Macaca mulatta: one gene and its partners. The main gene of each other region encodes a partner of the protein of the gene in region 3 in a complex. Links are inferred from orthologs where the notes say so. Each region holds a gene or a part of one and is shown on either strand. Other genes may lie near its edges. The genes, in order: SUDS3, SAP25 and SIN3A.

What was found.
Region 1: the proteins of SIN3A (region 3) and SUDS3 are in contact, whole or in part, in an NMR structure (PDB 2N2H), measured with the Mus musculus proteins. The link is inferred for Macaca mulatta from reciprocal best matches to the Homo sapiens genes SIN3A and SUDS3. Residues at the interface, in NP_001103821.1 of Mus musculus: Glu616, Glu619, Leu620, Val623, Arg672, Ile673, Tyr674, Ala675, Lys677, Asp680, Ile681, Ile691, Ala692, Ile695, Val696, Arg699, Met702, Lys703, Glu706, Trp707, Glu709, Ala710, Phe714; in NP_848737.3 of Mus musculus: Ala205, Leu207, Asn208, Tyr209, Leu210, Leu211, Gln215, Ile216, Glu218, Asp219, Leu220, Thr222, Leu223, Leu226.
Region 2: the proteins of SIN3A (region 3) and SAP25 are in contact, whole or in part, in an NMR structure (PDB 2RMS), measured with the Mus musculus proteins. The link is inferred for Macaca mulatta from reciprocal best matches to the Homo sapiens genes SIN3A and SAP25. Residues at the interface, in NP_001103821.1 of Mus musculus: Leu121, Lys122, Val123, Ala126, Leu127, Leu130, Tyr144, Phe147, Leu148, Met151, Lys152, Phe154, Lys155, Thr161, Val164, Phe182, Phe185, Leu186, Pro187; in NP_001075431.2 of Mus musculus: Ala208, Glu209, Ile211, Ala212, Leu213, Ala214, Gly215, Leu216, Leu217, Gln218, Met219, Ser220, Glu223.

Annotation. Positions count from the first base shown.
Region 1 is NC_133416.1:125,678,261-125,688,057, reverse strand, and holds part of SUDS3 (sin3 histone deacetylase corepressor complex component SDS3), read right to left. Parts: intron 6,858-9,797; coding exon 6,838-6,857; intron 5,601-6,837; coding exon 5,444-5,600; intron 1-5,443.
Region 2 is NC_133408.1:47,776,631-47,786,920, reverse strand, and holds SAP25 (histone deacetylase complex subunit SAP25), read left to right. Parts: upstream 1-5,354; 5' UTR 5,355-5,355; coding exon of another isoform or gene 5,356-5,539; 5' UTR 5,540-5,846; coding exon 5,847-5,992; intron 5,993-6,188; coding exon 6,189-6,292; intron 6,293-6,374; coding exon 6,375-6,481; intron 6,482-6,573; coding exon 6,574-6,727; intron 6,728-6,835; coding exon 6,836-6,933; intron 6,934-7,015; coding exon 7,016-7,315; 3' UTR 7,316-7,374; downstream 7,375-10,290. Other genes in the region: LRCH4 (leucine-rich repeat and calponin homology domain-containing protein 4), read left to right, coding at 830-1,217, 1,355-1,454, 1,701-1,791, 1,867-1,943, 2,049-2,110, 2,218-2,334, 2,453-2,521, 2,599-2,702 and 5 more. UniProt on the Homo sapiens protein: Involved in the transcriptional repression mediated by the mSIN3A but not the N-CoR corepressor complex.
Region 3 is NC_133412.1:53,488,588-53,498,998, reverse strand, and holds the start of SIN3A (paired amphipathic helix protein Sin3a), read left to right. Parts: upstream 1-3,548; 5' UTR 3,549-3,781; exon of another isoform or gene 3,782-3,844; intron 3,845-10,411. UniProt on the Homo sapiens protein: Acts as a transcriptional repressor. Corepressor for REST. Interacts with MXI1 to repress MYC responsive genes and antagonize MYC oncogenic activities. Also interacts with MXD1-MAX heterodimers to repress transcription by tethering SIN3A to DNA.

The DNA of each region.
Region 1 (9,797 bases), on a different chromosome or scaffold from region 3:
CAATCCTAGCACACATCATGCCCTTCTCTAGCAGGATGGAGGGCGCCATCAACATTGATGCAAATTAATGCTGCGGTGGTAACAGAAGAATGCCTAAGGTTTGTGGGGGAGGGGAATATGAATGAATGTTAGGGCTGGGCACGGTGGTTCACGTCTGTAATTCCAGCACTTTGGGAGGCCATGGCGGGCAGATCACCTGAGGTCAGGAGTTCGAGACCAGCCTGGCCAACATGGTGAAACCCCATCTCTACTAAAAGTACAAAAATTAGTCGGGCGTGGTGGCACACACCTGTAGTCCCAGCTACTCGGGAGGCTAAGGCAGAAGAATCACTTGAACCCGGGAGGTGGAGGTTGCAGTGAGCCGAGACCACGCCACTGCACTTCAGCCTGGGCGACAAGGCTAGACTCCGTCTCAAAAAACAAAACAAAAAAAATCCACAAGAATCACTGTTAGGTCTTTGGAGGCCAAATCAGAGTAGGAATAAAGGACCAATCTCCTTAAAGCCAAAGTTGGCCATTATGAAGGGAAGGCAATAAACAGCGAGCCAGTCGAGCCTTCCTCTCTGCACCCTCAAGTGCATTAAAAGACCTGATTCCACGGTGCCAGCACCAGGAAAAAACATCTTGAGGACAGGCCCACTCTGCCCAAAATCCAGGTCACCTCTTCTATTCTCCCTCTCCAGATATTTGTGTGGGGCCTCTTCCCCTTGTCTTGACACCCAAGTCGCTACTCCTTAGCATCTACTGCATACGTGTGAAATTTACTGTTCCTATAGTAGTACAACCACATATATCTTAGGGTTTTTTTTTTTTTTGAGATGGAGTCTGGCTCTGTTGCCCAGGCTGGAGTGCAGTGGCGCAATCTCGGCTCACTGCAAGCTCCGCCTCCCGGGTTCACGCCATTCTCCTGCCTCAGCCTCCTGAGTAGCTGGGACTACAGGCGCCCACCACCACGCCCGGCTAATTTTTTGTATTTTTTAATGGAGACCGGGTTTCACTGTGGTCTCGATCTCCTGACCTTGTGATCCGCCCGCCTCGGCCTCCCAAAGTGCTAGGATTACAGGTGTGAGCCACCGCGCCCGGCAGGGTTTTAAAATGAGTGAAAAAGCCAGATGTGGTAGCTCACGCCTGTAAACCCAGCACTTTGGGAGACCAAGTCGGGCAGACTGCTTGAGCCCAGGAATTCAAGACCAGCCTAGGCAACATGGGAAAACCCCGTCTCTACGAAAAAAAAATAAAAAAAGGAAAGGCCGGGAGCGGTGGCTCATGCCTGTAATCCCAATACTTTGGAAGGCTGAGGCCGGCAGATCACAAGGTCAGGAGATCGAGACCATCCTGGTTAACATGGTGAAACCCCGTCTCTACTAAACAAAAAAATACAAAAAATTAGCCGGGCATGGTGGCGGGTGCCTGTAGTCCCAGCTACTCGGGAGGCTGAGGCAGGAGAATGGTGCGAACCCAGGAGGCAGAGCTTGCAGTGAGCCGAGATCGCGCCACTGCACTCCAGCCTGGATGACAGAGCGAGACTCCGTCTCAAAAATAATACACAAAAATGAGCCAGGTAAGGTGGCACATGCCTGTAATCCCAGCTATTCAGGAGGCTGAGGCAGGAGAATCACCTGAGCCCAGGAAGTCGAACTGCAGTGAGCCGTGATGGCACCACTGCACTCCACCCTTGGCAACTGGAGTGAGACCCTGTCTTTAAATATACCAATGAGTCAAAAACGAGCCTGTCAAATTGTTAACTTTATTTAGGGGCCCTCCATCTCAACACCACATAACCTTGGGGGAAGTCAAGGAAGCTATGTCAGCTTTCTACCAGAAAAGAGCCTCCAGGAAGACACAGACTTTACTCATTAGCCTAATTTTGTGAGTCTTAGTGCCACCACATGTATCTATGGTATCTGCAGAGAGTCAATAGTAGTGGTGGTGAAGAGAATATGCTTGGAGCCAGACACACACTGGCTTAACCACTATCTGTCTCACTGAGGGACTGTGAGCAAATGGCTCCACTTCTCCGAGCCACCTCTGCCATCTATAAAATCAGAAGCAATACCCCCAAGGTCAAAGGGAGCTGCAGGAACTCAGTGAGGTTACAACTTCCCAATCCCTGAGTGTTCACCCTGTGAACCAGCTACTTTCTGAAGCAACTTAACAGGCATTATCTCATCTCACATCACAGCTACCCTCTCCAGAAGGTTCTATCATCCCCTGGCCAAATGAGAAAACCCTACCTCAGAATTGAATCTGTGACAGTGCCAGGATTCAGCCCTGGTCTATCAGCCTGCAAAGTTAGCTCTAATATATTTATGTAATGCTTGGCTCAGTGTAAGTGCTTGGGAAACAGACTTCTATTCTGACATTGTTATGACTCGTGGTACCAGCCTTGAACCCACCATCTTCTAAAGGAAACTCACAGTCTTTACTAGGGTCACAGGTGGCTTTCACTGGGGAAGCCTAAGGATTGGAAGACGCCCCTGGTGAGCAAGAACTTACAAAAGAAAAGGAAGTAGCAGGTAGTGAACTACAGGAAGAAAGGAGAGAAGAGTAAGAGAAAGAAAAACACATTAAAAATGGTAAAGCTCCCCACATTTTAAAGCTCATAAAGTTCTCATCGAATATTTGGATTACTTGTAGTCTTGGCCTCTGCTTCAGAGAAATCTCACCCTCAGGCAAGTGTATCTATAACCTCACTACTGAAGTGTGCTCTGGCCAGCAGGATCAGTGCCCCCCCGGGAAGGTGGTCAGAAATATAGGATCTCGGGTGGACGCGGTGGCTCATACCTATAATCCCAGCACTTTGGGGGGCTGAGGTGGGCGGACCACCTGAGGTCAGGAGTTCGAGACCAGCTGGCCAACATGGTGAAACCCTGTCTCTGCTAAAAATACAAAAATGAGCTAGGCATGGTAGTGTATGCCTGTAATCCCAGCTACCTGGGAGGCTGAAGCAGGAGAATCGCTTGAATACGGGAGGCGGAAGTTGCAGTGAGCCGAGACTGCACCACTGCACTCCAGCCTGGGCGACAAAAACAAAAAAATTAAATTAAAAAAAAAGAAAGAAAGAAATGCAGGATCTCAGCCTCCACTCCAAAGCCGCTGAAACAGAATCCGCATTTTATCAAGACCCCACTGACCTAACACACTGAAGCTGGGCTGCACCGACCATAATTCATCCTAGCTTCTCTACGCACAATCACTCATTTCTGCCTGAACAACCCAGTTTCCCTAAGTTTTCCACAAGAGATTTGGGCGGTAAACAGTACCTCTTGCCAATTCCTATGGAGGTTTGTAAACGCTTTAAGTCATGGTGGGAATGAGCAGGTCGCCAAATACACCCGTTTCCGGTGGGTTATTTGGACCAAGCTTCTCATCAGCCTCTTATCCTACTTCGCTTTTCAAGAGATGTTCATGTTGAACCAAAAACGGAGACTTTAAAAAGTATCTTTCCAGGGCAGAGCTGGGCAACAATGATATTGGGCATCAATCCACAAAGGTGAACTAAGTCACTCAATTAGAGGAATGAAATCAAGCCTTTAATCCAACACCATAGCAGCACCATCTGTGGAAATGCTAATTACCCTTCTAGCTCCAGCGCCTTGTCTTCCAACACTCCATCATTACCTTGGCAGTGCTTTCCATACCAAGGGTACCAAATGGCTTGAGGAAGGACATCCGTACCTTTAATGCCCATGGCTAGCTTTAAACACTTCTGTAATCAATTTTATTGCGTTACAAATGATTTCCCTGAATTTATTTGTCTTTTCTACCCTGGCAGGCTCAGCCTCAAGTCACTGAGGATGCCTCCTGTCCCAGTTAAGATTCTGGCTGTAAAACTGCCTGGCCAAACAATATCAATTGCTTGTCAATAATTAGGATGCCAAATCACAGGTAAGGTGATGATACCCTTTCCCACAGATGGAAAGGGAGCAGCTATAAACGGATAATATTTCCCACTAGCCTAATGAAGGCTCCCAAACATCTGGTGGCTGTAGCAGACAGCGATGAGGCATCGATGCCAGTCACAGCCACTATCAAAGGAAATGGTGTGCAGGTCCAAAAGCCGGCAGACTGGTACCAGACAAGGTACCACGTTGCTACTGGTCTAATTAAATAAGCACTTCCACAAGAACAAGACTATACTGCCTGAAGCTGTGTTTTGGCATCCATTCTCACAAAAAAAAAAAAAAAAAAAAAAAAAATTCTGAGCTGCTTTCAGAGGCCTTCAAAGAGCTCACTTCTTTTGCCAAGTCTTTCTACAAGGAAGCTAACAGACGAGAGATTTTTCAAAAGTCAGACCCCACCTCAGGCACAACCACATTCTCTTAAGTGTACCATGAGGATTGGAGCCAGAGGTGTCAGTCAGAAGGCCAAGCTGGTTCACAACACCAGGAATATAAGGAGGGGAACAAAGATCTTAACTGGCTACTTTTAATTTCAAAGTCAGCCCTGAGAACATCCACAAAAACATTGCATGCATTTCCTATGGAACCCTGCTAAAATCAGACACGCCAGAGCCCCAGCACTTTCTGAATTGTAAGAGTTAAATTTGGGGATGTACAGAAAGGCATGCCACCTCCATATCCAAGTGACAAACTCACCACTGACTTGCCTTGCAGTATTTGCCAAGTTCCAAAATAGCGAGTTCAAGCCAATTCCCTATATCCTTCTAGGAATCATCAGTCTACATATGGCAACAGAAGAGTCGGCCCATATTGTTTCTCCCTGAAACCTGCCTACAACCTGCTGAGTTCCCATATGTGGATTACTAAATCCTAGAAGGTTAGAAAGGGATTGGCTCTGAGTCTCATGTAACTTTCCTACCTCCATGGGAAAATAGTTCAGTTTAGCTATCCTGTTGGAATCATATCAAGTCTTTCTGAAATGTTCACAGTAACACCTGGCAGGAGAGATCTAATAGCACAGAAGATAGAGCCAAAAGCTTTTGTTCTTACATCTAGGTCAAAGGAAGACAATACCTCTTCTGTAATTAAGGCAGACCGGAAAAAAACAAAGCAGAGGGATTCCCATCACCACAGGGGACTTGGGTAAGCAATGTGGGGACATAACCAAGATACAAATGGCAGCGGACCCAGGAATTAAGTAGAGCCTAAGCCAGAGCTTGCCATTACTATTAAAAGTCTAGCAACTATTGAAGACCTGTTATGCACAGGACACTGTACTAGGCACTCATATGTCTAACCACAATCCTGTGAGAGGGTATGATCAGCCCCATTTCATAGAGGAGAAAACAGACTCAGAGAAGTTAAGCAGCTTAACCAAGGTCACACAGCCAATAGAAGGTGGAGGAGGAACTCTCATTTATAAGGTCAAAACCCACTCTCCACCTTGCTCTGCTCTTGAGATGTAAGACAAAAGTAACTGGAACAGCCCTTCACAGCCCCGCTCAGGACCCCCAGGATCCCACCCCATAGGGCCTTCCTACCTCCAGTCAGTTCCATTGTCAGCTTTTCGTTTTCAATCATTTTCTTCTTTTCTTCTAGCTCAGCAATCAGGTTCTCTTTCAGCTCAACCTTCTTGTCTTCAAATTCTTTCACTGCTGCCTTCTTTTCTTTAATGTAATTTCGTTCCACTTGTTCAGTCTGAGCAAAAGAGAAACACAGGCTGGGAGTACACGGCGCTGGAAGCCATGGCTCCAACTCAAAGTCTAGCCCTGTCCTCAACAGCAAAGAAAACACCTTTGCTAGAAACATGACACACAGAGTTTCCCTCTCACACACACGCTTGCAGTAACGGCGTGTCTGGGAGCAAGCTTTCCAATGAATGTGTAAAATCAGACCCACATGACTTTTGCTTATTTTTGAGTATACCTCACTTGCTACGCAGATATTTTTCTCTCGTCCACATCCTATATTTTATACTAAAACACATTTCTCAAAGGGAGTAAATAATTGCTCATGAAGTTACAGCTTCAAAGGGAAATAGGAGATTCTACATTGTGTATATTCAAAAAATAATCACAAGATATTGAGGCCAGATAGCATAAGTTACTATTATTTTTGATACAGCAAGACAAAAGAATGGAACATCATTTAGTAAGTGTCTGAACCCCAAAGTACACAAATATTGATATTATACTAAGACAAAAGTTGTATATGCCTCTGCTTTTCAAATCTCGCCATTGTGGTGAGTGACATCGGGGCCTGTGGTGGGCTAGGGATGTGTGTACCTCACTTGAGTATACCTTCAGGCTGATCACGTGATCCTTCCAGCTGAGTGACTATGGGCATCAAACTGATTTAAGGAAAGTGGGTTCCAATAATGTGGCTCTGAAAAACCACGACTTTCTCCAAAAGTGACCCCCACACACATGCTAGCCACCCTGGGAGCAGTACATCACTAAAGATACAGGCCCTCATCTCTGGATCACAGCACAGAGTCTGACACAGAACCAGCACTCAGGTGTCCATAGAATGAAAGGAAAAATTAGAAATCTGTCTTTTTTTACTGGCCCAGAGAGTTGCAGCTGTAAAACAGAACCGCTGAGCCGATTCAGAGACTGAACTGCTTCAAGGACCAATATCAAACTATTAGGCCGTTATAACTTAGAGACTTCCAAACAGCTCTAATGCGGGATAAAAGTCAATAAGCAGTGAGGGGTGAGTATTCCTTATTCCCTTGTGATAAGCAGAGGCTGCTCAACAACCAATGACCAGACAGGATGTCTGAGCTGAGACCAAATGTCCTTTAGTCAAACAGAACAGTGGTGAAGGCTTCCAAACCATCTACTTGGTGATAGAAGGAAAAGCCACCAGATCAGGACTGCAAGATTCCAGTCTCAGAAAGGGCCTGCAAACCCAGAAGATCTGTGGTACTTACTTCCAGCTGGAGGAAGAGTTCTGCAAGAGATAAAAAGTGTAATTAGATTTGCTAGGCTGTGCCACCTTTCTAGACAGTGATGTTAGCATTCATTTAGAAGCAGTAATTGCTTTCTGAAAGCATGTTACACAGAGCAAATGTTTTCATCAGTGAAATGTTGATATACACGAAGGGAAAGGACGCAAGAAGTACTCAAGTCTAGTTAAAATGTGGCCCTGCCAGCCAGCCAACATGGCGAAACCCGTCTCTACTAAAAATACAAAAATTAGCCAGGCATGGTGGCAGGCACCTGTAATCCCAACTACTCGAGAGGCTGAGGCAGGCAGGAGACTCACTTGAACCTGAGAGGCAGAGGTTGCAGTGAGCCGAGATTGTGCCACTGTACTACAGCCTGGGTGACAGAGCGAAACCTGGTCAAAAAAAAAAAAAAAAAAAGTATGTGGCCCTGAACATACCAGCTGTGGCAGTTCCACCTGAGGGTAAAAAACGTGCAGCAGGAACGAAACTCCCCTGGCAAAATAAACTTATCCCTTCTTTCACTCAGTCCAGCCGCCAACAGTCCCCATAGTAGCAGGATGGGTCAAGAAGAAATAATGTAATTACTCCAGAAACAGAGTGGATATGACGTTTTAAAGCAGTGGTCCCCAACCTTTTTGTCACCAGGGACCAGTTTGGTGGAAGACAATTCTCCCACGGACTGGGACAGGGCAGGGGGTCAGGCGTTGGGTGAAGGGAGGCAGCCCAGTGTTCTGCAGCCTGGGGGCTGGCGACCCCTGGTTTTTTGGTGGGGTTGGTTTTTTTGAGAAAGAGTCTCACTCTGTCACCCAGACTGAAGTGCAGTGCCATGATCTTGACTCACAGCAACCTTCACGTCCTGGGTTCAAGCAATTCTACTGCTTCAGCCTCCCAAGTAGCTGGGATTAAAGGTGCGAACCACCACGCCTGGCTTATTTTTGTATTTTTAGTAGAGACGGGGTTTCACCATGTTGGCCAGGCTGGTCTTGAACTCCTGACCTCAGGTGATCCACCGGCCTCAGCTCCCAGAGTGCTGGGATTACAAGCGTGAGCCACTACATCTGGCCAAGACCCCCTTTTTAAAGCACTATATGAAGGACTATGTGTGGTAAGGAAGGACCTTCACAGGCAATCCACAGGACAGAGGCTCCAGGCACACCTGGGGTTTCACTGTCAGGTCGCCAAGTTCTGCTCACACTGGTGTCTGCCCCTGCAATGCCCTCTGATCTCCTATGCACATTCCCAAGTTCCTGACCGAATGCAGCCCCCTCCTGAGGCCTTTCCTGCTGACTCTTCACACATCATGCCCTTCAGATGCCTTAAAGCACCCATCTAACAGCACTCAACAACTCAGTTACACCTGCCATGTGCCGGATGATTAGTAACCGTTACCTAGCAGCTCCCCTCACCACCAGATTTACAATAGAGTACAAACCTGTCTACAAACCCGCACCAACTTGAAGTAAAACTGCTTCATGGCTTCTACTCTTTCCTGGGTGACACGGGGCTGTGCATACAGTCCACAAAGATTCTCCAGGGGGTGCTATTCTCAGTCTACCATGGGCCCCTTTGTAAACCTGGCAAATGCTATGAATCCCTTCCCCAGAAAAAAGGACATATACAAACTCCACAGAATGCTGACAGTTCCAGGAACCCCAGATTAAAAGCCCAGATGTTGATTAATAGTTGTTGACAGAGAAAATTAATTGAGGAAAGGGACAAGCCACTCATTATTTGTTTAGCCCCTGAAATCCTACCCACTTTGGCACTGGGAATTGCTGGGCATAGGAACCCAGGCACACCCAACCCAATGTGATCATTCCTGTAACAACTTCAGACCCGTACCATGCACAAGTGGGCCAGACAGCTGGAGTTCTGTGCCATTCCGAGAAATCATGCCTCGCACCAACAAGCTAAAATGACAATTAGCACTTAGAGGTGGCAGTGGTTTTAGTTAAAGCAGCCAGACATCACTAAAGCAGGTGGATCATCTCTGCAAAGAATGTGCTTTTTAAAGCTCAAGTCGTGACTGATTTAGGAGCTCTTCTGCATTTTTACCTAGGAGAGGGAAATGTGAAAGAACACATGAGGGCCGGGCACATTGGCTCATGCCTGTAATCCCAACACTTTGGGAGGCCAAGGGGAGCTGGGCGGATCACCTGAGGTCAGGAGTTCAAGACCAGCCTGGCCAACACAGTGAAATCCTATCTCTACTAAAATTATAAAATTAGCCAGGTGTGGTGGCAGGCGCCTGTAATTCCAGCAACTTGGGAGGCTGAGGCACAAGAATCCCTTGAACCCGGGAGGTGGAGGTTGCAGTGAGCTGAGAGAGCACCACCACACTCCAGCCTGGGCGACAGAGTGAGACTCTGTCTCAAAAAAAAGAAAGAAAGAAAGAACACGCGAGGACATGATTGAGAGTCTGCGCAGAATGAAGAAAAACAACTCAATACTCACTCTGCTGTTCTAACTTCAGAAATATGACTCACATCCATTTTCTTTCCTGATTTCCATCTTATGCCAGTTCCATGAGGTATTAATATTCCCCTCTATAGATGGGGAAATTGAGGTTTCAAGAGCAAATATTCTGCTTAAAGATCACATCTAAAGCGAGGAGGCAGGATCTGAACCTAAGACCACCTCTTTCCACAAATGCCACCTTCTTTATCTGCTAAAGGGGAAGTCTAGGAAGAGCAACCGGTTGAGGATTTTCAAGACATCTCAAGGAGGAGCTTCAGGAACTCAGAGTAGAATGGGGGTAACAGCAGGGAGAGGCAGGAGGTGGAAAGGCAGAGAGCTAATAGCTGGGGCTATACTTTCTCAGCGCCCACATGCACTTCAGCCCCTTTTCTATCTGTTGGTATGCACTGGGCAGCTTCTCACTGAGGAGAGATAGTGAAGGGTTGGAGAGTCACTGGCCCAGAATGAAAGATGACGGTGGCATG
Region 2 (10,290 bases), on a different chromosome or scaffold from region 3:
AAGAAATCCCAGCAAGATGCCCCGGGGACAGAGGCAAAAGCAATGAGTTCCATGAATCTGGGATGTCTGGAAAGCTCCACCGAGGTGGTGACGCTTGAGCTGAACCTTGAAAGATGCGTGGATGGGGAAAATGGAGTTCTCCCAACTGAGCAAATAGCACCTGGGAAGGCTCAGAAGCCAAGGGCCCGGAGGGGTGGGCAGTGAGGTGGGAAACGTGCGTGGAGCCAGGTCATGGAAGCCTTGCTCGTGCTGGGTTAGGGAGCTATGGTTTTTATTCTGTGCCTAGGGCCACCATGAATCCAGACCGTGCCTTTTTAAGATGAGCAAAAGGCATCTTTCCCTGTGGGCAGGCAGCGCTTCACGCAGGGTGCAGTGCTGGGCCCATGCTGGGGAGAGGGGACTCCCGGGCAGGTACAACCGGCTCAACATCGATAGCCCTGGCTGCATGTCACGGGAGGTGTTTGAGCAGGGTTTGTGTCTTGTGCTGATCATTTGAAAATGGAGGGTGGGTTTGAGTGTGGAGTGGGCAGGCGAGGAGACGAGGAGGGACAGACAGGGCTGGGCAGGACCTGACGTCCGGATGAGCCTTCCTAGGGAGGCTAAGCCAATGTCCGGATGCGCCCTCTCAGGGAAGCTTGCTTAGACTATGGACCAGAATCGTGTGGAAAGAGGAGCAGGGAGGTTGTTCCGGGGAATGACTTGAACCACCCAGGGGAGAGGCTGTGCTAGGCCCAGGGTGACTGGCCAGCCGGAGCCAAGGGGAAGGGAGTGAGCGTGAGGCCCCAGGCCTGAGCACGCTCCTGACTTTTCCCTTGCCCACCCGCTCCAGAGCTGGGGGACCTCCCTCTGGTCCGCCTGGATTTCTCCTGTAACCGCGTCTCCCGCATCCCGGTCTCCTTCTGCCGCCTCAGGCACCTGCAGGTCATTCTGCTGGACAGCAACCCCCTGCAGAGCCCGCCTGCCCAGGTGAGGCGAGGGCCCAGGGGGCCACAGGGACAGGGGTGTGGCTGGGCAGGAGTGGGGTTGGTCCTCTTGGGCAGCCAAGCAGGATCCGGGGAGCTGCCTTCCCTGCCAGCTCCCCAGCGTGTGCTGCCCCGCACACAGGTCTGCCTGAAGGGGAAACTTCACATCTTCAAGTACTTGTCCACAGAAGCTGGGCAGCGTGGGTCAGCCCTGGGGGACCTGGCCCCTTCTCGGCCCCCGAGTTTCAGTCCCTGGTAAGTCCTAGGTGGGGAGCAAGGAAGCCCTGGGATACTGAATGCCCCTTCTTGGCCCCAGGTACCCCCTGCTTTCTGGGAGGATTGGGGGCTGCTGTCCAGCATCAGGCTGACCAGATCTCCCTGGCTGGCCCCAGCCCTGCAGAGGATCTGTTTCCGGGACATCGGTATGATGGCGGGCTGGACTCAGGCTTCCACAGCGTTGATAGTGGCAGCAAGAGGTGGTCTGGAAATGAGGTAAGGGCGTCCTGTCCATGGGAAATTGGGGGTGTCAGCCCTGGGAGAGGACCTCTGAACTGGGGACATCCAAATTGCAGGGTACCAGGCAGAGGCTGGAGCTGTCCTCTTCCTTCCCTCTGCCCAGCATCCCAGGGAGGGGCTGGCTCAGCAAAGACCCTGAGCTTAGTCCCACACAGGACCCCCCAGGCCCCAAGCCCCCATGTGCAGAGAGGCCATCTCCCATCTCAGCCTCTGCCTTTACAGTCAACAGATGAATTTTCAGAGCTGTCATTCCGGATCTCAGAGCTGGCCCGGGAGCCCCGGGGACCCAGAGAACGCCGGGAGGACGGCTCAGGTGAGTAGCAGGGCTGGCTGGGAGCTGGGCTGGACCAGGGTCCCCACTCACTTGCTGACATGCTGGCCTCCCCAGCGGACGGAGACCCTGAGCAGATTGACTTCATCGACAGCCACGTCCCGGGGGAGGATGAAGAGCGAGGCACTGTGGAGGTGAGAGCCCAGCTGTGCCTCTCCCAAGGGAGGGGAGCTAGAGCAGGGGACAGGGCAGGCGTGGGCACAGGCCTGCTCTCAGCTGCTCTGCTGTTCTCTCCTTAGGAGCAGCGACCACCCGAATTAAGCCCCGGGGCAGGGGACAGGGAGAGGGCACCAAGCAGCAGGTATCCCAAGCCCTGAAACCGACGCCACTGCCTGATCCACCCACCCCCCAGCCCCCTCCTTCCCTGACCCCAGGGTCTGCCCCTCTCACCCTGTCTTGGTCCCTCAGGCGGGAGGAGCCGGCAGGGGAGGAGCGGCGGCGCCCGGACACCTTGCAGCTGTGGCAGGAGCGGGAACGGCGGCAGCAGCAGCAGAGTGGGGCATGGGGGCCCCCCAGGAAGGACAGGTGGGACCCAGGGCCGCCCGGGGCTGTTGTCAGACACTGAGCCCTGGAAATGGGGCCACCGAGCCCCACTAAGCCGTTCTGCCTCGGGGCTAGCTGACCCCACCTCTCCTTGTTCCAGCCTCTTGAAGTCAGGGCTCAGGTCTGCTGTGGGAGGAGCCACCGCCATGTCCACTCAAGCCACGCACAAGTAGGTTTCCTGCCAGCATCCGGTCCCCACTCCTCTTCCCATGACCATCCCTCTAACTCCCTTCTGTCTCTCCTCAGTGGCCCGCCTAAGTCCAGTGCCTCCCAAGCGGGAGCTACAGTGGGGCAGGGAGCCCCTGCCCCTGCCCCCGCCTCCCAAGAGCCCCTTCCCATAGCTGGACCAGGTGGGACAGGGACTTTGGGAGGAGGATGGGGCCTGTGTTGGTGAGGGCTGGTTGGGAGAGAGGGACACAGAGGGGATGCCTGTCTCACCTGTCCCTGTTGCTGTGTCCCTGGTTCTGGCCCCAGCAACAGCACCTGCTCCGAGGCCACTTGGCTCCATTCAGAGACCAAACAGCTTCCTCTTCCGTTCCTCCTCTCAGAGTGGCTCAGGTGGGTGTCCCGCCCTCCCCAGTGCTGACCCAGTGCTTGCCAGCAGCAACTGCTACATCACCCTTCTGCCCTGGGAGCCCTCTGGGTCTGTTGTACCTTTGTGTTGAAAATTCCACAAATAAGCTGGGTGTGGTGGCTCACACCTGTAATTGCAGCACTTTAGGAGGCCAAGGTGGGAGGATCGCTTGAGCCCAGGAATTCAAGACCAGCCTGGGCAACATAGCGAGACCCCATCTCCATGTAAAAGAAAAAGAAAATCCCACAAGCAGAGAGGCAGGAGGTGTGGGTGCCAGGCCACTGGGACCCAGCTACAGAGTCAGTGGTGAGCAGTGGGGGCAGCCCCATGCCCTGCTTTTTCTCCTAGGCCCTTCCTCACCAGACTCTGTCCTGAGACCTCGGCGGTCCCCCCAGATTCCAGATGAGAAGGACTTAATGACTCAGCTGCGCCAGGTGAGCAGAGCTGGGAGCTGTGTGGGCAGGGACCTGGGCCGGGCACCTCCTTGTGTTGCTGTCCTTGGGACCAGCCTCCCTCCACATCCTCTGTGCCCACTCTGGCACCTCCCCTGAGGACAGAAGGGGACAGGCACAAGTTCCCTGCTGGCCCTGAGCCCCCCACTCTCCCTGCCTCCCAGATACCTCTCCTTCCCTGACCCCTGCTCTATGCGGTCTACACTCCCAGGTCCTTGAGTCCCGGCTGCAGCGGCCCCTGCCCGAGGACCTGGCCGAGGCTCTGGCCAGCGGGGTCATCCTGTGCCAACTGGCCAACCAGCTACGGCCGCGCTCCGTGCCCTTCATCCATGTGCCCTCTCCTGCTGTGGTCAGTTGGGGCCGGGGAAGAGGTGGGGGATGGGCTGGGGCACCTGTGGCCTCTCCCTTACCACATTTTCTTCCTTCACCCACCCCAGCCAAAACTCAGTGCCCTCAAGGCTCGGAAGAATGTGGAGAGTTTCCTAGAAGCCTGTCGAAAAATGGGAGTGCCTGAGGTATGGGGGCTGCTTTCTAAAGAGTGGTGGCATGCCGGGCTCAGCCAGCGTGTGGCATGGATGGCGGGCTTCCATTCGCAGCAGGTGTCTGCTCTCAGATGGAGGCACAGGCTGCCCCTGCCCTGCCTGGCATGCCCCCTGCCCTGCATGTCACCTGTCCTACACGTCCCCTGCCCTGCAGGCCCCATCTTGTCTTGCATGTCACCTGCTTTGCACGCCCCCTGCCCTGCATGTTGCCTGTCCTGCACTCCCGCTGCCCTGCACTCCCCCTGCCCGGCACGTCGGCATGTGGGCGTGGTTCTGGCCCCAGCACGTGAGGGCAGGGGTGGGAGGGACTGTCCTGCTGCTGCTGCTGATATCTGTCCCTTGTCCTTGTCCATCTACTCTCCTCTCCCCCAGGCTGACCTGTGCTCGCCCTCGGATCTCCTCCAGGGCACTGCCCGGGGGCTGCGGACCGTGCTGGAGGCCGTGAAGCGGGTGGGGGGCAAGGCCCTACCGCCCCTCTGGCCCCCCTCTGGTCTGGGCGGCTTCGTCATCTTCTACGTGGTCCTCATGCTGCTGCTCTATGTCTCCTACACTCGGCTCCTGGGTTCCTAGGACCCGAAATCAGCCCTCCCTTACCCCTTTCCCTCCCCCCTTCTATTTATAAGGCCCCTGCTCCACCCGACCCCACCTGCGGTGCCTTCAGCCCCGACCAAAGACACTAGTGCACCCCCTTCACAGACACTGACCTCAGAGGCCCCACTCTGGTGCCCCCAGACCCTGGGCCCCCAGCCTCTGGCCTCCCTCCGGTAGCCCCATGAGTCCCCACCTCTCAGTGCTGACGGTGCCTTCATGTCCCCGCCGGCCCTGCCCCTGCCCTCTGTGCCCCGTGAGGGGTGGCAGGAGCTAGAGTCTCCCCCTTCCTCCTGTGCCCTCCCCTTCCCCCGCAACGGCTGCTATGCGGGGGCTAAATTATCTCTATTTTGTAGAGAGGATCTATATTTGTAGGGGTGTGGGGCCCAGGCCGGGTCCCTGTCTCTGTGTATAAACTGTACAGACCGTGACCGCCTTGCCTGTGTGTGTGTAAGTGTGCGCGCGTCTGCTCCGCGTGGCGGTGGCTGTGGCCATGGCTCTGTGCCCACCAGCATCGCCCTTCTGAGATGCCAGCCTCTCATGCTCCCGGAGCCTCCGCCTCCCCCCGTGTCATCTCCCTTCTGTTATCGCTGACAGCTTTCTTGCGTCTCATTTGTCACCGAGCCCTGAGCGCATGGTGATGCTCGGGTCTGCCCCCGACCCCCTGCCACAGGCCGGAAGCCACGGGGGGCCCCCTGGGGAAGCTAACCCGGCCCCTTCCCCCAGGAGTCACTGTGCCAGCCCCACCACATCCTGGAAGAGGAGGGGGCCCCGGGAAGGGGCCTCCCCTACATCGCTGCTGTCGTCCACGCCCTGCTGGACCGGCCTTAGGGGTGAAGGTGGGGGCAGGGCCCACCCCGCCTGGGACCCCGGGAGCAGAAGACGCGCCTGGGCTCCACGCTCTGAGACAAGCACTCGGTGAGGGCGGCCTGGGCCTGGGCCCCCTTGGCCTGCGGGCCTGGCTGCCTCTGGGACCGAGGGTCTGGGTGGAAAGACCACGGGTGTCGCAGGTGTCGCGTCAGCTGCAATAAACAGAAGCCAGAAGCCCTCTGGGTGGCCCTCAGGTGTAACTGTGTCTGAGAGCACGCGCGTCGCGGGATTGTGGGGGGGGCCTCTGTATCCGGAATTCACCGCCCGGTCGCCAGGGGGCGCCCGCGGGAGCCTGGCGGGGGCACGCGCCACGTGGCCGGGAGACGCACAGGGCGCCGGCGTCGCCGCGAGGCCTCTAGGGTGGGTTCGCCAGGAGGGCTGGTTCGCGCCGCGCGGTAGAGGGAGGCTGAGCGGGCCGGGCCGGGCGGCGGGGACACTGCGGTGCAGCCCTGCGCTCTGGAACGCGGAATGTTGCCCTGGTCGCCGCCACGGTGGGGCGCGGGCCCGGAGGAGGCGCCCGAGGGACTAGGCCTTGTGGCGGGCAAGGACCAGGGCGAGCCCTGGAGCTCCGGAGCGGACGCCCCCAGGGATCTGGGGACATCCCCATGGGACAGGTGAGGGGCTCGGCCGGAGCCGCGGGGGGACAACGACTGGGGACCTCCATGCCTTCACCACGCCCTCTGCGGAGGTTTCTCCATTGTCCTTGCCGGAGTTTGGGTCCCTCGGCCTCCCTTGCACCAGGCACCCTTGGGCTCCAGGGGAAGGTGCGTGGGGGCGGTGTAACTGCAGCCTCAGTCCCTGCCCCTCCAGCCCACGGCCCCCATCCCGTAGCCCTTCCTGGACCCGGAGTGAGCAGCTGCCGCTGCCCCACCGCCTGCCAGGCCCAGCCACTGAGCAGCCCCCCGGAGCCCCAGGTAGGACGGGTCCTGCTGCCTCTACTACCGCCAAGAGCCTCTCTGACTCTGAGCCTGTTTTAATCCCCAAGTGTCCCCCCAGCTCCCCGTTCCCCCCAGGTGGCCTGGGAGGTGGACCCCTCAAGGATGACTCCACTAGCGCCCTGGGACCCCAAGTACGAAGCGAAAGCGGGCCGTCAGCCGGTGTGGGTGAGTTGAGGGCAAACCTGTGGGGCTGGCTGGGGTGTTCAGGGAGCTGCAGGGTGGCCTGAGGCTCCAGTGGTCTGTCCTCCTCACCCTAGGGGGCCAACTGTAGCTCAGGAGCCTCGTTCTCAGGCCGGACGCTGTGTCACCCCTCGTTCTGGCCGCTGTATGAGGCAGCCTCGGGCAGGGGTCTCAGGCCTGTGGCCCCTGCCACAGGGCATTGGAATGGACAGCAGGCGCACCCAGATGCAGGTACCTCCCTTGGTCCTCTGGGGGTGCAAGGCTGCCCCAACTCCTCCCGGAACCAGTGCCCAGGGGTGGGAGCCCACAGCCTGCCACCCCAGTGGTGTTTCCTTCTAGGGTTCCCGGTGATGTGCTGTGAAGATGTCTTCCTCTCGGACCCTCTGCTGCCCCAGGGGCAGCGTGTCCCCCTGTACCTGTCCAAGGCCCCCCAGCAGGTGAGAGCTCTTCCCCCTCCCTGGCCTTACCCCAGCCTCCAGGCGTGCCTGGCAGGAAACACATCCCATTCTCTCTCCTCAGGTGATGGGCTCCCTGAAACTGCTGCCGCCGCCCCCCATTATGTCTGCCTGGGTCCTCCCCCGCCTGTCACCCTCCCGGAGCCCCTCCACCGCCTGGCTCAGTGGGCCGGAGCTGATCGCTCTCACTGGCCTACTGCAGATGAGCCAGGGGGAACCCAGGCCCAGCTCCTCCGTGGCTGACACGCCCCCTGCTGGCCCCCCAGACCCTACCTCTGACCCACCAAGCCCCTGTGGTAGCCCCAGCAGTTCTCAGGGTGCTGACCCCTCTCTCCCACAGACCCCAGACACCCATTGTCCATAGCCTTCTCGGGGCAGAATGGGCTGGTTGTGTTGACAATAAAGCAGTGTTGGTTTGCAAAACAGGCTCCGTGTGGCTGGGAGCAGAGTAGGGCATAGAGGCAGGAATGGGGTCTCTTTCTGTCCCACTACAGATCACCCCCTGCTGTGTTAGGCGGAGGACGGGGGTATCCATGACCTAAGGCGTTTCTGGGCCGACCAGACAGAGCCCCTTTAATGAGTGAGTGGGTGGTCTGCATGGCAGTGCAGAGCTGAATTTATAGGAAACAAGGAGCCATAAACTGCCAGGTGGGGGAGTAAGTAGGGGCACCTTACTTTTAGGGGGCACTAGCGGTAAGATCCCTGGTGCTCCCACACCTCTTGTGCTGGGGCTCCCGGAGTTCAGTTCTGGGCTGGGTGGGGTAGTTGTTTGGCTCAAAGGAGACACAGAACGCACTGCAGGTGTGTGGGGGAGGGTGCCGGTCCACATGAATGTCACCATTGGCAGAAAGGTGGCCCCGCCACAGCCGACCTGAGACTCTAGAGATTCTTGCATGAACTCTGCAGAGAAACAGAGGATCAGGGCTTCAGCTGAGAAAGCCCAGAAGTGTGTAGTTTTGGTGGTTTGGGCGGGGATGGGTTCTAGAATTTTCTCCCATAAAATAGCCCAACTTCTTGGAGAACCTCCTACTCAAGACTTAGGTGCCACAGCTGGAAGGGACAGAGCGGGCAGAGACCCCAGCTTGTTGCCCTGCAGGTCACTTGTCCGAGGTGGCATCTGGGTCTTAAAGTCTCTCCCGTGGTGGGGGGTTAGGAGGCAGGGTGGGGGGCATTACAATACCACTCCCTCCTATCCCTGCCTCAACCACCCCCCAATCAGTCAGCAGGAGAGAGCTGCCTGGGTCTCAGGTCTCCTCACCGGCGCCTCCGGGGAGTTCTAGAACTCAATGCCTGTGTAGCTACGTGGGCGGAGCGTGCAGGCCCTGGGGACGTCACCAAGTGCCCCCAGAGAAAGGACCAGGTCCAGGTCAACATAGCTGAGGCAGCTCGTCAGGGGCTCTGGCCTGGCGGTGACTGTTCGGAGGCTCTCGGGCGGATAACTTGATGCACACTTCCTCCCCAGCCAGCTCCGAGGGGGCCAGGAGCCCAGCCAGCCCCCACATCGTGATGGGCGCTCCTTGGCCTGGGTCCAGGCTCCTGAGCCCAGACTTGTAGGAATGGTCCCCATGGGCTCGTAGTCACTCCCCACTCCCTTGGTTATGTAGCCCCCACCCTGCCCCTTGGGGTAGGAGGCTGCTGCACCCAGCCTTGCCAAGGTCTTGAGGGCTGCTTGCTCGATCCCCTCTCGCAGACACCCCTGATGGCTCAGGCCACTTGACTGGGCCGCAGAAGCCGGGGTCTCAGGGATGGGGAGTCTGAAGATGCTCATAGGAGGGTCCCTGAGCGCCTGGGCCCTGAGCGCCTGGGCCTCATTGTGCCCGGAGAACTTTTTTTTTTTTTCTTTTTTTGAGACGGAGTCTAGCTCTGTTACCCAGGAGTGCAGTGGCTGATCTTGGCTCACTGCAACCTCCGATTCCCTGGTTCAAGCGATTCTCCTGCCTCAGCCTCCTGAGTAGCTGGGATTACAGACATGTGCTACCACGCCCGGCTAATTTTTGTATTTTTAGTAGAGATGGGGTTTCACCATGTTGGCCAGGCTGGTCTCGAACTCCTGACCTCAGGCGATCCTGACCTCAGGCGATCCTGACCTCAGGCGATACGCCCGCGTTGGCCTCCCAAAGTAATGGGATTACAGGCGTGAGCTACCGCACCGGGCCTGTGCCCGGAGAACTCTAAACATGCAAACCCTTTAATGTTTGAACTTTCGGTGACCTGGGGCAGGGGCGAGCCACGGAGAAACCACAGCCACAAGCCCCCGGGGTCCCCGGCAACCCAGGGCTCGGGCGGCACCGCGCGCCTCGAGCAGGGCGTTGTATCACGCCTGCTGCTCCGCCTCGCCTGCCGCCGCCACGCGCAGGCTGTTGTCGTGGGTGTAGAGGAGGATCAGGTGGTGCTGGCGCGTCTGCGCGCTTGTCACGCGCCCGCCAGGCTTAGGCTGAGCTGGGGCCGTGCCCGGCCAGCCCGAAACTTCTGATCGCTCTCAGAAGACTCGGGACGCGGCGGGTCTGCGCGCAGGTGGCGGCAGAGTCGCACGTCTGCAGGGCAGGCCCAGGGCAGCGGCTGGCTGAGGGGCATGGTGGCCATTCCCGGCTCTCCCCGGGGCCGCCGTTCGTGGGCTTCATTCAGGGCCGAAGGCAATAAAGTGACTGCAGGAGAGGCAGAGATGGCTGGGTCTCGTGTCCTGAGCGCGGGGAGAGGCCAGCAGGGGTGGGGGTGAGTCTGGGCAGGGAGTCCAGCGTCTTGATGTCCAGCGTCTCTCCTGGGCTCCTGACTGGAAGTTTGGGGCAAGGGCTCTGCGCACAGCGAGTGTCCCAGTGGCTGCTGCCCGTGGCCTGGGCTCCCCACTACCTCCCTCCCTCAGCCGACCGCTCCTGAGCCCCCACCCCACGAGACGAATCCTCACGTCGCCCGGGCGCTGGAATTTGAGTAGGGAAGTCCAAGAGAGGCGGCCTCGACGCCAAGACTGAGCCTTTACAGGGGCAGGGAGCGTGGGGGCGTCTCTACCGATCAGCTGACTGCGGTCCGGACACGTCGTCCGGGCAACCGAGAAAGCCTCCGTGTGAGGCCAGTGTGATCGGACTTGTGGCAGCGGTGGTGGCGCTGGCGATTAGAGGGCGGTGGAGCGGGGCCTCCACGCACCCTGCCGGCTTCTGCCGCGCCCCCCTCGGCCTATAGGTGTCCTTCCTGTGTGTAACCCCTTCCCATCCAGGAGTGGTTTTGTGCCCTTCCAAGTAACCCAAGGAGCCACCATCACTGAGCACTACGCTGGATTATTTCTGAGCTGGAGATTCAGTTTCTTGAGGGTTGGGGGTGATAGGAGGTGACTTGGAATAAGTAGGT
Region 3 (10,411 bases):
GGCGGCAGCCGCCTCGAGGGTTTTGTTTCTGCCTGCAAACTTGGAGGGGGCGGTGGGCGCGCTCCGGAGAGGCGCGGGCACTGTGGGCCCGCGGTTGTTATGGACTCTGGGGGCGGGGGCAACACTGGACTTGCGGGAGGGGCGGCCGGGGGCGGGAGAGGCCACCGGAAAGATCCCCTGCGCCTCGCCGCTAGCCCCGCGAGCTGCCGGGTTTCCAAACTCCCTGGCCTTGGCGGTCGAGTCAGCATTTGGTGCCGGCACCCGGCAGGCCACGAGCCGGCAACGAGCTCGCACCGGTGGTACGGAAAACCCCCAGAAACTCGGCGGCTTCGCCCCGCGGTCCCGGCTGATCCCCTTGCAAACATGGAGCTGCCTGCTTCCCCGCCCACCCCAAGGCGGCGGCGGCGACTGCTGCTCTCTTCCCCTCCCCCGGCCGTGCCGCCGCCGGGCTCCCCCTTCCTGCGAGATGCCGCTGCGGACCGCTCGGCGCGGATGGGGCGGGGGCGAGGGCGCGGGCGTGTGCGCGCCCACGAGGGGGTGGCCTGAAAGGGGCAGTGAAGGTCGGAAACTGGGAAAACAGTCTCCACGCTCGGAATCGGGAAAAGGAAATGCATCAGCGGGCGGGGAGGGGCGCGGGGGGCGCGCCTGTCAGCCGGGATGGCGGGCGGGTAGGCGGGGCGCCGGCGGGAACCGTCCCGGCCGGGCGGGGCGACGCCGGGAGAGGAGGCGCAGGGGCCCAGTCCACCGAGCGCCGAGCGGCCCCTGCCTGCACTCCTCGGCCCAGACTGTTTACTATCTACTCCGCTGGTGGCTTGTGCAACCCGCCTGGAGGGGAGCTGAGGGGCGGGCCCGTTTCCTCTCTCCCACCCACCTCGGGCTCGCCCGGAGGCCCCGCCTTCTCTTGTCTTCCACTGGCTGGACGAGACTCCCTTTTTTTCCCCTTCTCGGATGTGGATTGGATGACATTCTCCCGAGCTCCGCCTATCGGGAGGCCGGGCTGGAGTTTAAGTTGCTAGGATTTTTTTTCCGCGGAGGGAGGAGGGATGGTTCTTGCGGCTGACGCGAGGCGCAAGGTCCCGCCCCCGCCTCGGATTGGTGGGACGGGTAGCCCGGCCTCCTCCGGCGGAGAGAGCTCGGAGGGGGAAGTCCAGCCTTGTTCCCCGCCTCCCTCCTTCGCTCTTGAGCGCGCTCCGCACATGTGTGAGGCCCGCCTAGCTCCTTCGAACTGCCCTCCCGCCCGGAAGTCCTAGGCTCGGCGCCCTTGGCGAGGGGGGCGGGGAGAGCCGAGAAGCCACACAAAGGTTCCACCGAGGCTGGAGACCTGGTAGCCTTCGGGGTGAAGCCAGGGGATTACAGTGCGGAGTGGATTTCGGGAGCGAAGCTTCGTAGGTTCTGCAGGGTTTGAGATCTGCCCTTCGAGGCCGGGGCCAAGTACTCAAGTTCTAACCCTGTCGCTTGGCTATTTCCGCGCCCTTTGACTTCCCTAAGCTTAAGCTCGAGAACTCTGCAGACGCTGGAAGTGTTTGTTCTTCCCTAGGCATGGTAGCAGCTGTCCTTAGTTGGCTGTATCCGAGACTCTGACAACCTAGTACCCTGGCCTCGGGCCCTTAGGCGAGATCCAGCGCAGGTGGTACCCTGTGTTCACGGGAAGTCGTGGGCAGCCTAATGCTGGCTTGGGTTCTGAGTAGTTCTTGATACCATGGTGGGAATGCCCTGTGCTACTCAGTCTAGTGGTGGAAGGCGGAGCAAAGTTAAAAGTAGCCTTGGGTCAGTTCTGCTGGAGTGCCGCTTCCTCCTAACCTGGGAGCAGCTTGGCCCGGGGGTCGCTTTGTTGGTCTGACTTACTTTTAGACCTCTGTCCTGGGGCAGGGTTTGGCTACTGGCGAGGCTGCTTCCACCTGTCGGCTACCCTTGGAGTTCGCAATTCGCTGCTGTGGTTTCGCGGCTCGAAGCCATCGTTGGAGTGAGGCCCACCTGCTGCCAGAGCTCGTTCCTGGCCGTTTCCGCTGGATTGCAGAGGGAGGACAGAGTTAGACCTAGGAGTGGGTTCCCTGGGCCTGTCCCTTGGGATCTTAGCTCTCCGGGAGGAGGATTCTACTTCTTCGGGAGAGCGGTAACAACGTAATCCCGTCCCCTCCTGGCGCCGAGAGAGCGCCCCCCAAAGTAAGGTCAGCGTCAGGCCCACGCCCTATTTGGTGAATAAATAAAAGCAAACTAGGAATTGAAAGCATTTTGTCTCACTGTGCGTTCGAGGCACTGTTACCTACACAGAGAGGGCACAGGGACTATTAACACTCCTGGCTAAGGAGAAGGTGAACAGCCGTTATGTCCCCAACTACGGAAGTTTTATCCCTTCTCTGAGTGTGGCATGTTCCAAAGGTTAATTTATGCTGTGGCCTGTTTTGGTCCTTTTCTCTTCTTTCTCAGTTCTGAGGATGCCTACAGATCCACCCGGGAGATCGTGAGTACCTTGTGCCTCACGCTCCGCCTTCCGGAGGCTTGCCAGGGCGGTGGCTGTTAGGGCCCGCCTCTCTTTTGGTTATCTCCGCCCTCTTAGGCACATTCAGCTCTAGGGAGTGCGCTGGCAACCCTTGGGGTTATGGGTTATTTCTCTGCCTAGGTCTCCAGACCTTAGTTCTGTACTGTACTTGACTGAAAGGAGTTGCCAGCTGCTCCGGATATTTGTGTTTACAAGGACGCAGTGTGTAGAATGTAAACTGCAAAGATAACTGGATAGGGAGGATGAGTTCGCATTCTCATTTTTTTTGTAAGAGAGTCCGCCGGGGTGGACTGCCTTTCCTTCAAATCCTAGGATGTGGAGTCTCCGCTGATGAGCTCCGCTCCCCCTCCTGTCTCGGGCCCTGGAACTCCGAGCTTCAGTCTCTAGTGTAAACATTCCACAAAAGGACTGCTAAGGTTCAGCCTCCTCGCGCAGAGCGGAATTAAGTTCCTTCCTAGACGGGCGCCCTGGCCAATGGAGGGTCCTACCAGTGCCAAGATAGCCAATCCAACTCTTGGGGCGGGGCCTGGCCCGGCAGTGCAGTAGGCGGAGCCTGTTTCACTTACAGACATTTTACCCCACATCGGTTACTTACCTTACTGGGGCGGTGGGAGAGCCAGGGGTAGCCTTCCAATGCGATGACCGGCGGAGGCGGGAGCCAACTTGTTAGGCCTGTGGCTGAGACGCTGCGGGGCGGGTTATGTGGTGTCCTCCAATGAGACAGGAAGAGCTTCCCCGCTTCCTCCAATAGCGTTGTGGCTCGGGGGTGGGCTTCAGCAGTCTGTCTCCAATAGGCGGGGTTGAGTTAGGGACGCTCCCCGCCAATAGGGGCGTGGAGAAGGTGAGCGGCTCCCTCTCCCCTCCCAGTCGAGGGGGAAGGGGCGGGAAGTCATAAGGCAGGGCTCGGTGATTGGCTCAGTCTTTGACGGGCGGGTATTGCGTCCTGTGTTGGAACGAAGCTGAGTCTTCCCCCTGCGGGGCGGGGTCGGGGGAGTGGGCGGGATTTCCCGGGTAACAGAGAAGCGGCCGCGGCGGTAGAGGCGGCGGAGACGGTTTCTCCATCTTCCCCCCTCCCCTTCCCCCCTCGGAGTTTCCCTCCCTCCCTCCCTCCCTCCTTCCCAGTCTGGGCACCGGGGCCTGTGACCGCTTGGTTAGCGGAGAGGTAGCTGGCAGTCCGCTTCGGCGGGCCTGTGCCCCGCGCCGTTCTCAGGGCCTCCCTGCTGAGCTCGCGGCTCACGCCGAGAGGGACACGCAGTGACGAGCGGCCGAAGCAGCTTTGCGGTGAGAGCACGCTGGGCCGGGGGCCGGGCGGGAGCCTAGTGGCGGGTAACGCCGGACTCGAGGGTGTGTATTTTTAGGGGGGGCTGACCTCCTCGGCTTCCCGTAGAGCAGACGGGCGGGAGGTGTGTGGCTGTGTGAGGGGGGTGGGGGGCGGAGCAGGGTAGCTCTCCTCGCGGGAGGGGGAGGAGAGCGTAGTCCCGGTGCGCGCGGAGGGGGGCGGGCTCTCGCGCCGCCGCTCAGAGGCGGGGCCGGCGCGCGCGTGCGATTGTGGAGAAAGGGGCGGGGCCGGCTTCTCGCTGAGTGCTGTTTGCGGCCGACCACCCCCTCTCCTCCTCCTGGGGTGGGCGGGGCCTCGGGCTGGCGGCCGCGCTCTTGCCTGCTGGGGTCGGGGACGGGTAGGGGGGTCTCCCGCGTGTAGATTCAGGGCGCGGCAGGGAGGGGGCGTGAAGTCTGAGTTTCTCCGCCTTCTCGGGATCCGGTTGGCCGGAGGGGCCGTACTGATCCGTGATGCCACTCCCCTTGGCCGTCCCCCGCCTCCCACCCCGGCCCTGGGTTTCCGCCTCCTTGGCAATGAGGCGGTGCTAGGGAAAGCCCGCTGTCGGGTCTGGCTGGGAGTCTCGCCGCCTAGGTCTGCCCCGCCTTATGTCTCCGTGGGGAGGGAGGGGCTCCCGCCGACTGAGAGCTGCGGAGGTGTCAGGACTTACTCTTGTGGCTCGGTCATGCCTTCTGCCTGGGGCACAAGGGCCCTATGCCGGAGCTGCTTTCTCTGTTTGCTCCATGCAGCGTGTCTGGCACCGTGCAGCTGAGAGAGTGGGAGCATGGTCACCCCCACCACCCTCCTGGTTGTATCTATTGGGGCGAAGTGCCTAAGGTCCTCTTGTAGGAGCGTGTGTGGCTGGTGCTGGAACCCTGTTTCCGCGGTGGTGATGGTCGGGGAGGGGCAGGGAGTCATCAGAGACTAGAAATGTGGCGGAGAGAAAACCTTTCTGGGGTTCCCTCGATGTTCAGTTACCGTGGCTGTATGGGGCGGGGCTTCCTTTGAGCCAATGGGTGGTGGGTAGTAGACTTGGCGTCTGTTTCGGTGCGTTAGGACTTTAACCAAGTTAGCCTTGAAAAGGCAGTGGAAGCTCCTCCTCTTTACAAGGCTGAGATTTATAACAGGAAAGTTGGGATTTACATTTTAATCTCAAAACTGGTCTGTTTATAAAATAGGTTTTTTTTTTTTTTAAGAAAAATTCAGACTTTGAATAAAATATTCTGATATCTCTGACGCTTGTAGTTTTGAATGCTTTCATTGTGCAGATGGTTCTACTATATAAACTTAGTTTCCTGGCCGGGTGCGGTGGCTCATGTCTGTAATCCCAGCACTTTGGAAGGCTGAGGCGGGCCGATCGCTTGAGGTCAGGAGTTCGAGACCAGCCAGGCTTACATGGCGAAACCCCATTTCTACTAAAAATACAAAAATTAGCTGGGCATGGTGGCAAGAGTCTGTAATCCCAGCTACTGGGGAGGCTGAGGCAGGAGAAATCACTTGAACCCGGGAGGCGAGGTTGCAGTGAGCCGAGATCGGGCCGTTGCACTGTAGCCTGGGCGACAGGAGCGAAATTCCGTCTCAACAAACAGAAAAAATTTGGTTTCCCAAAGAATTTGCTATTGAGGTAACTATAGGTGAGAAGTCTTTTCTTTCTGGTTTTATGTAATTATGTTCGATCATCTAGACCACTTTCTATTTATAGTATACATAGTACAGTGTTCTTGCCCTTTATATTTCAGAGTAGGGTGAAGTTGTGGATCAGGGTAGCCTTCTGTATGTGACTTCTGTAGCGTTGCTCTCCAGCCTGCATTGGAGAGTTGCCTTAGGACATTTCAAATCTAACCTATAGCAGAACCACATTAGATGAGGTTTTTGCTTTCACTTGATACATTATCTTTTCCTATTGAGAGAAATTATTTCAATATTTTTCACATTTTTCATGAGAAAAATAAACATGGAACCAATGTTTATTTATGCAGTAATGTCTAAATGAGCCTGAATTTAGACATTGGTTTAAATGTCTAATTATCTGACATTAGATATTGTTAGATAATTAGTTAATTATCTGAAGTGAAATTCTAGATTTGTGCTTTGGTTAGTAGGGCCTGAGTGGTGCCCTGTGCTGTGTTTATGTGAAAAGGGTAGGTTCTATCTTGTCTGCCAAGGAAGTTGCAAAAGCAACAGCATTTTAGTTTAGCTAATGATGGCTGTAATAGAATTGATGGGGAGACAAAAAATCCAGGTGTTTTTTTCCTGATGCCATAAACAGATAGTGGAGAACTATTGACCACTGAGGAAAATTTGGTCTACATATAGTAGTTCCCATGATTTGCAGTGCTGTATACTGGGGAACACAGAAGAGTCTTTAAGGATTCAAGTAAGAACTTGGTTTTGCTGTATTAGGAGCGGTTTCATAAATGCTTCATAATCTCCAGATAATTATTTTATATACTATAATGTTGCTCAGAGATAAATAGCTTAGAAAGATTGGCACTTCGTAATTAAGAGGGTTTTAATAATTTACATACAGAGAAAGACTTTTTTTCTTTTTTAAGGAAGGAGGTGTGTAGTAATTTGACAAGATTCCTGGCAAAGTATAATTCTTTTTACATCTTCAGTGTAAGCAGACAAGACACTGGAGAGCTGTGCATGGCAGATGTTAGTACCCAGGAATTTTAATTGGAATTAAAAGGTTATGTCCATGGCATTCAGTAGTTCAGCATAGTGCTTTTCAAGGCTTTCTCACTTTTCTGGGCAATTCCACCAGCCAAGAGTTTGTTAGGCTTTACTTTCTGTAGGCCTTTAAAAAAAAAATACGTGGTATATGCTTTTTCAAAATACACCTTCCTTGCCCCTTGAATAATAAAAGATGATATTTATTGAGCACTTACTGTGTCACAGATACTGTGTTAGGCACTAGACTTTTTTTTTTTTTTTTGAGACGGAGTCTTGCTCTGTCACCTGGGCTGGAGTGCTGGAGTGCAGTGGTGCAATCTCAGCTCACTGCAACTTCCGCCGCCCGAGTTCAAGCGATTCTCCGGCCTCGGCCTCCACGAAGAAGAAGCTGGGGCACCACCACTCCCGGCTAATTTTTGTATTTTTAGTAGAGAAGGGTTTTACCATGTTGGTCAGGCTGGTCTCGAACTCCTGACCTCATGATCCGCCCACCTCGGCCTCCCAAAGTACTGGGATTACAGGCATGATCTACTGCACCCAGCCGCATAATGTCTTTTCTTCGCATAATGTCTTTTTTTTTTTTTTTTTGAGACGAAGTCTCACTCTGTCATCAGGCTGGAGTGCAGTGGCATGATCACAACTCACTGCAGTGTTGACCTTCTGGACTTAAGTGACCCTCCTACCTTAGCCTCCCAAGTAGCTGGGATTACAGGTGTGTGCCACCACACACCTGGCTAATTTTAAAAATATTTTTATAGAGATGAAGTCCTCCTATGTTGCCCAGGCTGGTCTCGAACTCTTGGGCTCAAGAGATCCTCCTGCCTCAGCCTCTCAGAGTGCTAGGATTGCAGATGTGAGCCACTGTGCCTGGTCATTGCTGGCAATTTCTAACTGATGTATTTCTTATTTGCCCCTTTTGCTTTTGTTTTCCTTACCCCCTTTTTGTCTTGTGTGCTTGTATGTTACCCATATTTTTCAGCATGACAGTAGACCCTTCATGAGTCTTCTTGGTGTCCTCCAGGGCTAGGCTTGCTGATATATGGTCTATTGGAGGATATGCAGGTCCACATCCTTTATTTGCAGTTCTGAAATGCAAGAATTTTTGTTTTTTGGTAAGTCTAGTTCCACAACTAATTTTGGGGCACAACCTGACCTGGGCTGTCCCGCATGATGCAGAAATGCTACTGCTTGATTACGGGGATCTACCCCAGCCCTAGCTGGGAGAGAGAGATGATACAGTATATGTACCATATTGCCTTTCTAAAATCCAAACAATGCTGATGACTCTCTAACGGGGATCTCTCCCTCTACCGTAGACTAATAGGTCTAGTGGCCCGCTCAAGGTCTCCACTTGATGTCTCCTCTTGGATAACTAAGAGACATTGTTGACTCTTCTCTGTCTTTTTAATATGTGGTCCATCAGTAAATTTTATTTGCTCTATATTCAAAATACTATCCAGAATTAGACCACTTGGGATCTGCATCTCCATTGCCCTAGTCAGCGCCTGTGCATCTCTAGCTTGGATTCTATTCTCCTTGTTTTGTTACTGCAACTCTTAAATCTCTTCTCAACATAGCAACCCAAGTGATTCTTTTGAAACCTGTCATACCTTGTCACTTCTCTGCTTAAAACCATCCAGTGGCTTTCCATTTCAGTCTGAGTATTAAACCTGAGTCCTTATTAAGATATGTCTGTAATGGGCCAGGGCCTGGTGGTTCATGCCTGTAAACCCAGCACTTTGGGAGGCCCAGGTGGGCGGATCAAGAGGTCAGGAGAGCGAGACCATCCTGGCTAACACGGTCTCTACTAAAAAAATACAAAAAAGTTATCGGGGCATGGTGGCATACATGCCTGTAGTCCCAGCTACTCAGCAGGTTGAGGCAGGAGAATGGCGTGAACCCGGGAGGTGGAGCTTGCACTGAGCCGAGATCACGTCATTGCACTCCAGCCTGGGCGACAGAACGAGACTCCATCTCAAAAGAAAAAAAAAAGAAAAGATATGTCTGTAATTCCGGCATTTTGGGAGCTGAAGTGGGAGGATCATTTGAGGCCAGGAATTTGAGACCAGCTTGGGCATTGTAACAAGACCCTGTTTCTATAAAAAAAATTAAAAATTAGCCAGGCATGCTGGTATGTGCCTGTAGTCCCAGTTACTTGGGAGGCTGAGGCAGGAGGATTGAGCTCAGGAGTTTTAGGCTGCAGTGAACCATGACTGTGCCACTGTACCCCAGCCTTGATGACAAAATGAGACCCTGTCTCGAAAAAGAAAAAAAAGGAAAAAAACACCTGTAAGAACAAATCTGATGTACCCTCTGCCTGCCACCCTCATCCTAGTACCTCTCTGACTACATTTCTGACTAGTCCTTCTTTCGTTTTTCTTCAGCTACCCAGCCTTCATGCTGTTTTGGAAAATGTCAAGCACATGTGAGCCCTCACAAAGACATGAGGGTCTTTGGGTTTGCTGTCCCCTCTGCCTAGAAGGCTTTCTCCACTAATTTCTGCATGACTAGCTCCCTCACTTCCTTTACTCACAAGTTACCTTCTCAGTAGGTATTCTCTGGCCATTCTTATCTACAATTTCAAAAACTCTTCCTTGCCTTTTGTTCTTGATACCTGTCACTGCCTAATATTCTAAATATTATATTTTGTCTGTTGTGTCATCTTTCACTAAAGTGTAAGCTTCTTGAGGGAAGGAATTTTTGTTTACCGTTGTATTTCCAACTCCTAAAACACCTGGTGCATAGTATGTGCTCAGTAAATATTAGAGGATGTATACACGAATGAATGATTTGGTTTCCACCACAGACAGACAAAGCAGTATGTTGAGCATAGTAGAGGGTACATAGATGGTTAAAGATGTTATGTGCCCATGTTTGTGTGTTTGTGTGGGAGCAGAAGAGCTAATGTGATAAAAGCAGTGTGAGATGTGAGTGACACATCCACCTGTCCTTTCAAGAGCCATCTTAAGTTTTATTCTTTGTAATGCTCTTTTTCTTTTGCTTTTCTTTTGCTTTCCCTCTCTCTCTCTCACTCTCTCGCTCTCTCTCTCTCTCTTTCTTTTTTTTGAGACAAGGTCTCACTGTGTTGCCCAGGTTAGAGTGCAGTGGTACTATCTCAGCTCATTGCACACACACACATAAACACACCCAGCTTCAAGTGATTCTTCTGCCTCAGCCTCCTGAGCAGCTGGGATTACAGGCATGTGCCACTATGCTTGGCTATTTTTTTTTTTTTTTTTTGAGACGGAGTTTTGCCCTGTCCCCCAGCCTGGAGTGCAGTGGTATAATCTCGGCTTGGCATAATCTCAGCTCACCGCAACCTCTGCCTCCCGGGTTCAAGTGATTCTCCTGCTTCAGCCTCCTGAGTAGCTGGGATTACAGGCCTGTACCACCCCACCCAACTAAATTTTGTATTTTTAGTAGAGACAGGGTTTCACCATGTTGACCAGGTTGGACTCGAACTCCTCACCTCAAGTGATCCACCCACCTCGGCTTCCCGAAGTGTTGGGTTACAGGCGTGAGCCACTGTGCCCGGCCTAATTTTTGTACTTTTAGTAGCTCCTGATCTCAAGGGCTCCGCCCGCCTTGGCCTCCCAAAGTGCCAGAGTGCTGGGATTATCAGCGTGAGCCATGGTGCTCAGCCCCCCAGGCTTAAGTGCAGTGGCACAATCATGGCTGACTTCATCCTCGACCTCCTGGGCTCAGGTGAGCCTCTGACCTCAGCCTTCCAAGTAGCTGGGACTATAGGGGCATGCTAACATTAGCTTGCCCAGCTAATTTTTGTAATTTTTAAAGAGACGAGTTTGCCCATGTTGCCCGAGCTGGTCTCGAAATTCTGGGCTCAAGTAATCTGCCCGTCTTAGTCTCCCCAAGTGCTGGTATTGTAGGTATGACTCACTATGCCCGGCCTCTGGCCTCCT